Callithrix jacchus: one gene and its partners. The protein of the gene in region 2 purifies or fractionates together with the protein of the main gene of each other region. This does not show direct contact. Links are inferred from orthologs where the notes say so. Each region holds a gene or a part of one and is shown on either strand. Other genes may lie near its edges. The genes, in order: EAPP, CD2BP2 and USP39.

Evidence for each region.
Region 1: the proteins of CD2BP2 (region 2) and EAPP purify together in Homo sapiens (affinity purification with mass spectrometry; 3 studies listed by BioGRID and IntAct, counting the BioPlex papers as one, with this or other methods). This does not show direct contact. The link is inferred for Callithrix jacchus from reciprocal best matches to the Homo sapiens genes CD2BP2 and EAPP.
Region 3: the proteins of CD2BP2 (region 2) and USP39 purify together in Homo sapiens (affinity purification with mass spectrometry; 5 studies listed by BioGRID and IntAct, with this or other methods). This does not show direct contact. The link is inferred for Callithrix jacchus from reciprocal best matches to the Homo sapiens genes CD2BP2 and USP39.

What each region holds. Positions count from the first base shown.
Region 1 is NC_133509.1:69,030,295-69,034,017, forward strand, and holds part of EAPP (E2F-associated phosphoprotein), read right to left. Parts: intron 2,136-3,723; coding exon 2,025-2,135; intron 1-2,024. UniProt on the Homo sapiens protein: May play an important role in the fine-tuning of both major E2F1 activities, the regulation of the cell-cycle and the induction of apoptosis. Promotes S-phase entry, and inhibits p14(ARP) expression.
Region 2 is NC_133513.1:29,873,100-29,876,699, forward strand, and holds the start of CD2BP2 (CD2 antigen cytoplasmic tail-binding protein 2), read right to left. Parts: upstream 2,779-3,600; 5' UTR 2,644-2,778; exon of another isoform or gene 2,537-2,643; intron 2,206-2,536; 5' UTR 2,179-2,205; coding exon 2,101-2,178; intron 1,509-2,100; coding exon 1,373-1,508; intron 1,247-1,372; coding exon 1,089-1,246; intron 987-1,088; coding exon 551-986; intron 472-550; coding exon 365-471; intron 280-364; coding exon 169-279; 3' UTR 1-168. UniProt on the Homo sapiens protein: Involved in pre-mRNA splicing as component of the U5 snRNP complex that is involved in spliceosome assembly.
Region 3 is NC_133515.1:27,400,821-27,404,543, reverse strand, and holds part of USP39 (ubiquitin carboxyl-terminal hydrolase 39), read left to right. Parts: intron 1-513; coding exon 514-608; intron 609-3,054; coding exon 3,055-3,191; intron 3,192-3,723.

The DNA of each region.
Region 1 (3,723 bases), on a different chromosome or scaffold from region 2:
GATGGCACTTGAAGCCCTGGTTTGCCTCAGTTCAAGTAAACACTGAGAGTGCTGCCTGTCTCAAATGGGGGAGGTCCCAAAGAGGATAAGGATATCCCAGTAGGCTGGGAAGGCTGGCTAGGGGTTCACACCTCCACCCTGTGGAACAAACCTCCTATAGTGTGGTGCTGCTGAACAGACACTCTGTTGGCATTTCCTTTGGCAGAGTTAGAGTGGAGTTTCCAGGGTTGCAGATGTAGTCCTACCTACCCCTACCCTCTTTGTCTCTGGCCATCCTCAGTAATATTTTTCCCTTCAGGTACTCTCAGTTCTTCCTATGGGTTGAGGCAGGGACAGATCTCTCACCAGAGAACTCAAGAATGGAAAGAAGCTGTTTGTTCACTTCAATCTCAGTTTTTCTCATGTAAAGATCATGAGCTCAGAGGAATTTTTCTGCTCACTTGGTGCCAGGCAGCTTGTGGAGAAGAATGAGCAGATACAGAAGTCCAATTCTCTTACTGTCTGCTTTAAATTTTTTTCACTTCTTTGTGGCCCTAGAAACTGTCTCCTTATATTTAAGATCTGGGATACTGGTGGTGATAGCTTCAGTGCTATATAGTTGGTTTTGGTTTTCTGCAGGGGGAAGGAAAGCCAGTTTGCTTCCATGCTGCTATTTTGCACTAGAAAAGATACTCTTTTTTTTGAGAGATGGGGATCTCACCTTTGTTTAGTTGCCCAGGCTGCAGTGATGGTCCAGCCCACTGCAACCGTGAACTCCTGGGCTCAAGCCATCCTCTCACCTCAGCCTATTAAGTAGCTGGGTCTACAGTCTTCATCACTATACTCTGCTAATTTTTGGTTTTTTATTTTTTGTAAAGACCAGGTATCACTGTGTTGCCTAGGCTGGCCTCAAACTCCTGGGCTCAAGGGATCGCCTTAGCCTCCCATAGTACTGGGATGAAAGGCATGAGTCACTGTGCCCAGCTTAAAAAGTATAAAAGCTACTTTTTTTTGTCTAAAACAGGGTCTCACTCTGTCACCAGGGTGGAGTGCAGTGGTGCGATCTAGGCTCACTGCAACCTCTATCTCCCAGGTGCAAGTGATTCTCCTGCCTCAGCCTCCTGAGCAGCAGAGGCACGTGTCATCACGCCCAGCTAATTTTTTGTGTTTTTAGTAGAGACAGGGTTTCACCATGTTGGCCAGGATGGTCTCGATTTCTTGACCTCATGATCCACCTACCTCAGCCTCCCAAAGTGCTGGGGTTACAGGCGTGAGCCACTTGCACCCAGCATAAAAGCTACTCTTTTTTTTTTTTTTTTCTTTTTCTTTTTAAAGACAGGGTTTCACTATGTTGGTCAGGCTGGTCTTGAACTCCCAACCTCAGGTGATCTGCCTGCCTTGGCCTCCAAAGTGCTTGGATTACAGGCGTGAGCCACCACACCTGACCTTTTTTTTTTTTTTTTTTTTTTTTAATAGAGACGGGGTTTCACCTTGTTGGTCAGGGTGTTTTCGAACTCCTGACCGCAGGTGATCCACCCACCTCGGCCTCCCAAAGTGCTGGGATTACAGGTGTAAGCCACCATGCCTGGCCAAAGCTACTCTTAATAGAATTATATATAACCAAAATTCATTGTATAAAGATTAGTCACATAGTACCAAGAATATAAATACAGAACCTTATCAGAATTCCTGAGTACCACAAAAGTCTATTTCTGGGCTGGGCGCGGTAGCTCACACCCATAATCCTAGCACTCTGGGAGGCCAAGGTGGGCAGATCACTTGAGATCAGGAGTTCAAGACCAGCCTGGCCAACATGGTGAGACCCCTGTCTCTACCAAAAATTCAAAAACTAACTAGGTGTTGTGGCAGCTGCCTATAATTCCAGCTACTTGGGAGGCTGAGGCAGGAGACTCACCTGAACCCACAAGGCAGAGGTTGCAGTGAGGTAAGATTACACCACTGCACTCCAACTTGGGCAACATCTCCAAAAAACAGGTCTGTTTCTGATTTAAACAAAGTGTGTGTGTGTGTCTTTCATCCATTACCTTTGGCAATCAAGGCACAGTGTGGTCATGCAGGCAGGACAATTCAAGACAGCGTCACTATTTGGAACAGGCTGTTGTTGATGTGACCTCTGTCGTCCCAAACCATGGTAACTAGAACAGAAGAAGAAAGTGAAAGAAACATATATTAAAACCAGATCTTGGTTTCTAGTGTCATTTTCCAATAAAAAGAACGAGTCCTCTTCAGAGAAATGGCTAATTCTAGGAATCAGGAATGCAAAATGAACCTGGAGCATCTTTTAGTGCCAGAAAGGAAGGACGTATTCAAGAAAACAAAAACCAAACAATGAGGTGGTTATGACAAAGGGAAACAGGAGCCAACTAAGAGTCACCAACTGCCAAAGCTGAAACAAACTGAGCAACAAAATAAAGTAGGATTGGATTACAACCCAAAGTATAAAATAAATACCCAAGAGTCCATGCTAGCATAAATGTATTGAATAAATAAATCAATGGGGGAGAACAAATAAATCCCCACACAGAATTCTAAATGATCTATAAAGATGCTCTTCTCTCACAGTGGTGGAGTGTAACTCCCTAGTCCTTAAGTCTGGGTTGGACACAGTGACTTCCTTCCAAAGAGCACAGTATATGGTAGCGGGGTAAAAGACTAACTTCACAGAAGAGAAAGCTAACACTGGTTAGCAAGGTGATCAAGGCCAACATCAACACACAAAACTCATGCTGGTAGTATGTACTCTTAAAATAATGTGATGAAAATGGCTCTGTACTTCTGTGTTCTTCCTCATAAAAATCCATAATCTCATCCTAATTATGAGAAAAAACATCAGACAAATTCCCACAGAGGAGCCTCCTACATACACCTGACTAGTGCTCCTCAAAGTACATAAAGGCACTGAAAACAAGGGAAGTCTAAGAAACAGACGTAGTCAAGAAAAGCCTGTGGAGACATAACTAAACGTAATGTAGTATTCTACATGGGATCCGCAAACAGAAAACGAACATTACATAAAAACTAAGGAATTTTTTTTAAATTATGGACTTTGATTAACAATAATGTATCAATATTAGTCCATTGTGACAAATGTACCAAAAATAAAAGTTCATGAACTTTTTAAAAACAGTACAGCTACATTTAAAAAAGAAGCATACAGCCAGACATGGTGGCACACATCTGTAATCCCAGGCCAAGGTAGGCAGATCACTTGAGCCTAGGAGTTTGAGACCAGCCTAGGCAACATGGTGAAATCCTGTCTCTATAAAAAAAATTTTTTTAAATAAAATAAAAATAAAAATAAACAATCACACACCGGGCATGGTGGCTCACGCTTATAATCCCAGACCTTAAGGAGGCCAAGGCAGGATGGGATTGCTTGAGCCCAAGAATTTAAGACCAGCCTGGGCAACATAGCAAGACCTCGTGTCTATTAAAAATTAAATTAGAGGCCAGACACAGTGGCTCACCCCTGTAATCCCAACACTTTGGGAGGCCGAGGCGGGTGGATAACCTGAGGTCAGGAGTTTGAGACTAGCCTGACCAAAATAGTGAAACCCCGTCTCTACTAAAAACACAGGCCCAGCCGCATCTCAATTTTTAAAGATTGAATTTGTAAGTAGTTTAAATAAAAAAAATCATTTGAGTGCTAAATCCACAAAAACTTTTTTTGAGATAGGGTTTCACTCTGCCACTCAGGCTGGAGTACAGTGGCGTGATCTCGGC
Region 2 (3,600 bases):
TCCGGCCATCAGCACAGCGAAGGCCCTAATACACAACTAAAGGCTTTTATTGGAAAAGGGAAATTGACTGAAAAATGGCCTCCAATTTCCTCACTGCCTGAGACACTTGGGGGTCTCCTCCACAAAGTCCAGGAAAGAAGGGCCCACCAAACTGGGCCCCCAGCAGGCTCAGGTATAGAGGTCAAAGTCAATGCGTTTGGAGTTGTAGAACTGACCACCAGGGGGGTCCAACTTCCGGCAATAAACACCGTCCGGGAAGTAGCCTTCGCTCACCCAGGTCTGCAAGGAGAGGGCAGAGCTGGGGAAGGACTGACAGGAGTTGGGGAAGCAGGGACAAGGCAGAAGGAGGAAGAAAGCGGCTCACCTGCATCTGGGCGCTGGTGAAGGGTCCATACAGCTCGGCATCCCCTGTGTTCTCCCACTTATATTCCCACATCACATCCACCAGACCATCTCCCGGCGACTCTGCTTCTAAAATAACAGGCAAAGCCATTTGGCCTCCAGTGTCTGCCTCCTGCCCAGTGCCTCCTCCTGTGTCCTCCAAGCTCACCTCCTTTCTGGGTAGGGGTTGGGGTCTCCAGTTCCCCCTCCGCCACTTCCTCAGCAAACATGTCCAGGGAGGGTGGGGGTGTGGGATTGTGGGGTCCCAGGGTCTGGCACCCCAAACCCTTCAGCCTCATGGCCAACCGTTCCCGAGTTTCCTGGTACACGCCAAGGTTGCCCCGGGCCACCATCTGGTCGGCCAACCCAGAGAGCCGGTCCAGGCGCTGTGGGGAATTGGGTCGTCCGGGCCCCTTGCTGCTCCCTTTGCCTCCTCCTCGGGCCCCCAGACGCCTCAGTGCCCCAGCCACTGTTTCTCTAGGCAACAGGAGCTCCAAAAGTCCCTCCAAGAGAGCTTGGGCACTCATTGGGGTCTGGCCCAAGCCATCCTCCTCCTCCGAGTCTGAGGTCTGGCGCTGGCCAGGTGGCCGCTCCCGGATCTTCACCTGTAATGGGAAGAAGGGGAGTGATTTCCCACAAACTGCCACGGGAGCAGGCAGCAGCTCTGCCACTCCCTGGCCCCAGCCATGCCAGCCCCTTGGCCACACCCAGTCAATGTTGTCCAGCCAGCTGTCTCGGATCTGAGCATCCCGGTTCAGGAAGTAGTTGCCATCGGCATCGAAATGGCCTTCCTCCATCTCCTCCTGCAGGTTAAAAGGTGTGATCCGCACACCCCCCTCGCTGGGGAGTGTGGCTGCCTCCTGACCTGCACCAAAGACAGGGGTGTCCTTTGCTGGGGATGAAAAAAAAGAGACCGGGGCCTCCCTCACCTCACACCACCAGAGGTCTCTACTTTTTCCTTCAGTAGAGTGTATTCTTGAGTACAGCTCACCTTCTACATCCTCTGAGGACAAGATGTCATATTTGCTGGACCCCCCATCGTCATCATCCTCCTCATCGCTGTCCAAAGAGTGTTTGCCTTTGAAGCGGCTCCCAGGACCCCCTGACCCAGCCACAGGGTCCACCAGCTGTGAGCAGGAGCCAGGAAGTCAAGAAATGCAGGTTACTGGCTACCTCCCCAAATACTGCCAGATCTGGACCCAAATACTCCCCAAATATTTCAGGATCTCAACTGCTTCCCTAGATATTTCTTTTTTTTTTTTTCTTTGAGACAGAGTTCACTCTTGTTGCCCAAGCTGGAGTGCAATGGCTGATCTCAGCTCACTGCAACCTCCGGCTCCTGTGTTCAAGGGATTCCCCCACATCAGCCTCCCAACTAATTGGGACAGGTGCCCACCACCACCCGGCTAATTTTTAGTACTTTTAGTAGAAATGGGGTTTCACCAGGTTAGCCAGGCTGGTCTTCAACTCCCGACCTCAGGTGATCTGCCTGCCTTGGCCTTCCAAAGTGCTGGGATTACAAGCGTGGGCCACCGTGCCCAGCCCTACTTCCCCAAATATTTCAGGACCCACACTGAAGATGCTCCCAATCCATTCCTCAGTGAACCTGGAAAAACTAGGCTTTTCTCTGCCAGCCCGCCTTGCCCCTCCCAACTTTCTTCCTCCTCAGGCTTCTAGCTCCTCTCTTTCCCCCCACACAAAGAAGTTTGGTCCCCTCACCTTCTTCTTGGGGACACTGATATCATCCTCGTCCTCTTCATCTCCCACGCCTTGGAAGGTCACTTTCCTCTTTGGCATGACAGGGCAGAGAAGGTGTTCCTCAAGCTGAGGAAAGTATGCAGAGGAAGAGAACGGGGTGAGGAGGGGACTCGCCGCCAGAGGATTCCCGGCACAGCAAACATTTTTCTTGGTGACAAGTACAGTTTGAGAGGGAAGGGAGCACAAAAGCAGGGGCGGAAAGGGAGCTGGAAGCCAGAAGGCCTCTGGTACTCGGTCTGGCATCCTCGAATTAAATGGGGCGGGGACGGAGGGGCAATCCCTCTGGATCCCCCGACCCCGGCCAAAAGGAGACAGGCTCCACCATGTGACCACCTCCAAACCCAGCCCCCGCAGTCTGGGTACCACCAGGCTCGACGGGCTGACCCCCGCCTCCTACCCAGGCTCTCTCGGAGCTCGCGGGGCCCGGGCGGACCCAGGACCTGGCGCCCTCGCCGCCCCGTTCCTCCCTGCTCCGAACTCCCAATTCCGTGTGGTGAGCTCCACCTGTCCCGGGCTGCGTACAAAGTAGAGGGCCACGGGGATTCGGATGGTCCCACGCTCGCGCGCTCACCTGGGGATCCGCTGGAGGTGAGGCGGCAAAGAAGAGATGCTTGCGCCAGGGCTACATCCGGGGCACCCGGCCGCCATCACCCGGAAGAGGACTGAGGAATGCGCCGGGGAGGCCGGAAGTGGCTTCACTCCGGCCAGAGGACCAACTGGAAGAGCGGGCGGAAGTACGCGATGAGCGAGGGAAGACACCTCCACCCTTTCTTACGCCAGAAGTGACGTCAGTCGCGTGGGAGGAAAGTGGCGAAAAGAGGAGACTTAAGAATTCCTAGACTCTAACCCGGCGTGAGAAATGGCCGGAAGTAGCTTTGATTCTCTCATTGAGCCGTAGAGGCTCTGGAGAAAAAGTGGAGCGCATCTACTTAAAGGGTCGCTCAGTGTCAGGATTTAGGAGCAAAGTCTGAGCAGAGCCACTGGATTGCTTTCTTGTCTTCCTGTCCTGGGTTCGAGTAACCCTTCCCCCAGGGAAGGGTTCTGCGCCCCTACCGTGTCGCTAGAAATCCTGCCTTCGGCCGGGCGCCGTGGCTCACGCCTGTAATCCCAGCACTTTGGGAGGCCGAGGCGGGTGGATCACGAGGTCAAGAGATCGAGACCATCCTGGTCAACATGGTGAAACCCCGTCTCTACTAAAAATACACAAAAAATTAGCTGGGCATGGTGGTGCGCGGCTGTAGTCCCAGCTACTCGGGAGGCTGAGGCGGGAGAATTGCTTGAACCCAGGAGGCGGAGGTTGCGGTGAGCCAAGATCGCGCCACTGCACTCCAGCCTGGGTAACAAGAGCGAAACTCCGTCTCAAAAGAAAAAAGAAAAGAAAAGAAACCTCGTCTCTCCTAAACTACAAAAAAATTAGCCGGGCGTGGCGGCATACGCCTCTAGTCCCAGCTACTCGGGAGG
Region 3 (3,723 bases), on a different chromosome or scaffold from region 2:
TTTTTTTTTAAGAGAGGATCTCACTCTAGCCCAGGCTGGAGTGCAGTAGTGGATCAGAGCTCACTGTAGCCACAAACTCCTGGGTTAAAGTGATACATTTTTCTTTTGTGAAAAGATTTATTCATCCTTTTTATGTCCTCTCCACCTCCAGAATGCTGTTGGGGTCCTTTTACCTTAGTCTGACTTGTAACTTTCCCTTTAGAAAAAGTGAATGCAGTGGGAAGTCTTGAACTGGTTACAAACACTAATGAGAAAGATACTTTTGGTTATTAGGTGTCTGGTGGAGACACCTCAACACTGCTTTGGAGCATGGCAGGTGGAGGTGAGGAATAATCAGTGTCTCCGAATAATCAGTGTCCCCCAATAATCGGTATATATATTGTTGTGAACTGTTTTCTGAAGGCTGTTGTGTGGTATCATTGAACATCACAGAGCCAACACTGCTTCATTTGAGTGCCTTCCTACATGTCCATCCTATTGTTTATTTTTTTCTGTTTTGTTTTGTTTCCTTAGAAGTGTGCTGGACTTTGACTTTGAGAAACTGTGTTCTATCTCCCTCTCACATATCAATGCTTACGCCTGTCTGGTGTGTGGCAAGTACTTTCAAGGTAATGAGTGTTAAAAATTACAAACTTGTTAAGCTTTTAGAGCTAGCTGCAGATCTGTTCCAGAGGGACTTTTTTTTTTTTTTTTTTAAAGAAAGTAAGCTGTTCTCAGGAATTATATCTAATAATTTCAATTTGTTCCCAGGAAATTGAAATATTCTTAGAAAACGAACAAGAGGTTCTCTGACTGGTCAGAGCCTGGATATATCTGAAAGGGAGAAAGGGCAAATCATATGACATCAAAGACTGGATTCTTGATTCTAATATATGTATTTTCTTATTTTTAATTTTTTATTATTTTGAGACAGAGTCTCACCCTGTCACCCAGGTTGGAGTGCAGTGGTGCAGTCTTGCCAGCTAATTTTTGTTTAAATTTACATGGAGTCTTGCTTTGTCACCCAGTCTGCAGTGCAGTGACATGATCTTGGCTTACTGCAACCCCTGCCTTCTGGGATCAAGCAGTTCTCCTGCCTCAGCCTCCCAATTAGCTGGGATTACAGGCATACCACCATACCTGGCTAATTTTATATTTTTAGTAGAGACAGGGCTTCACCATGTTGGCCAGGCTGGTCTCAATCTCCCAACTTCAGGTGATCTACCTTGGCCTCCCAAAGTGCTGGGATTACAGGCATGAGCCACCGTGCCCAGCCAATTTTTTATTTTTATTTTTGACATAGAGTCTCCCTCTGTCACCCAGGCTGGTGTGCAGTGGCATGATCTAGGCTCACTGCAACCTCTGCCTTCTGGGTTCAGTCTGTTCTCCTGCCTTAGCTTCCTGAGTACTGGGATTACAGGTGTGTACCATCACACCCAGCTAATTTTTTTTTTTTGTACTTTTAGTAGAGATAGGGTTTTATCATGTTGGTCAGGCTGGTCTCGAACTCCTGACCTCGTGATCTGCCTTCCTCGGCCTCCCAAAGTGCTGGTGTTATAGGTGTGAGCCACTGTACCCGGCCAATTTTTTTTTTCAATTTTATTTATTTATATTTTGGGCTGGAGTTTCGCTCTGTTGCCCAGGCTCACTTGCATCACTGAGTTCAAGTGATTCTCCTGCCTCAACCTCCCGAGCAGCTGGGACTACAGGCATGCACCACCACGCCACTACACCTGGCTAATTTTTGTATTTTTTAGTAGAAATGGGGTTTTACCATATTGGCCAGGCTAGTCTTGATCTCCTGACCTCAAGTGATCCACACTCATCAGCCTCCCAAAGTGCTGAGATTACAGGCGTAAGCCACTGCACCGGGCCACATTTTTTTTTTTAAAAGATGGGATTTTTCTCTGTTGCCCAGGCTAGTCTCAAAACTCCTGAACTCAAGCAGTCTGCACTTTGGGGCCTCCCAAAGTGCTGGGATTTATAGGTGTGAGCCACTGCACCACGCCATCTGGCTATTTTATTTTATTTTATTTTGTAGTGACAAGGCTTTATTATATTACCCAGGCTGCCCTTTTATTTTTTAATCCTTTATCTCCATGGACTTTTTTTTCCCCATTCTTTTCTGAAAATGCATAATTTCAACTTATTCAGACCAAGCAGATGCCACGTACATAGTATAGTGGAGGGTTCAAATGAGGTAAAAACATCCTGACATGGTGGCTCGCACCTGTAATCCTAGTATTTTGGGAGGCCAAGGCAGGAGGTTTGCTTAAAGCCAAGAGTTCAAGACCCACCTGGCTAAAGTAACAAGACCCTGTCTCAAATAAAAAAGAGATAAAAACTATATTCTTTGCTGTTATAAGTAGCTTATAAGAAGTCAAGGTTGACAATGTAAAACAACCAGCAAGTTCTGTTAGAACTTAAAGATTCTGCTAGACTGTGGCAGTGAATAAAAATAAAGGCAATAGGAGTTGAAATATGTAAAAGTCAGTGTTAGCCGGAGTGTTTATATTGAGTTCATGGAGGAGTTGAGGTGGGACTTGAATTGGCAGGACATAGGATTTTGAATGGTTAAGGGAGAGATTCTAGAAAGGAGTAGCAACATGAAAAAAGTTACATAGATGCAGCATTGTCCTGAATATGGATAGTTGGAAATTCAGGACTGAGTGATGATGGACTGTCATAGGATATGTATGTATTTGTGTATATGTGTATTTATTCACACATATATGCATGGCTATTTCTGATTTCATATATATAGGAAACTATATATAATATATATATAGGTTATATATATTAGGTTATATACATATTATATGTGAAATAGTGAAATTTGTTTCCTCAGTCAATGTCTTACACCATCTAGGGAATGAAGTAACTAATGTGCCAGTTTTTCTTGCTCATTTTTTTATAAGAGAAGTTCATGTGGAGGATTCATTTTATGAATGGCATAATATTTGTTTTTTGCGGATGCTAACATGTTCTGGTAGAAAATAATGAAAGGAAAAGCAAACCTGATCGGTGCCTTCTAGGATCTGCCCTTCTGTTACAGCCTTTCCCCTTTCCCTACAGGCCGCGGTTTGAAGTCTCATGCCTACATTCACAGTGTCCAGTTTAGCCACCATGTTTTCCTCAACCTCCATACCCTCAAGTTTTACTGCCTTCCAGACAACTATGAGATCATCGATTCCTCATTGGAGGATATCACGGTGTGTGTCTAAGAGGGTTGGTTTGGGGTCCATTCTTTATGAGCCATCCCAGGGCTCCCAGGGGACTGCTCCACCTGAGGACAGGGAAGAATCTCAGTCCTTTTGGGCCTTGAGAGATTGCTTTCCCTTTTGGAAGGAACCAGGGAAACTGATTGTCATTTCTGCCTTTAACATTGAGGACTAGGACTGAAGAAATATGGCTGTATTCTGATAGGGTTGAAAGTGTTTTTGTGAAATGAATTATTCTTCCACACTTTGAAGTAGGGATATTAATTGGGTGTGGTGTAGGACAGTAGTTACCAAGCTGCACACCAGCTCCTGGCTGCTTTTATTTTATGATGTGGCCAGAGCATCCAGCCACAGATGTATCATCTGTGGGCTCTAGTTTGTGACCTGGACCAAGAGATACTCATTGTACTGAACATGGAAAGTCCTCTTGGGCTTTGATTAGTGTTGGGCTTTTGATTATTATTTTTCTTTTCAGCATGTGGGGAATATTCATGGTGCCAAATGCTCTGTTTTTGTTTTTGAG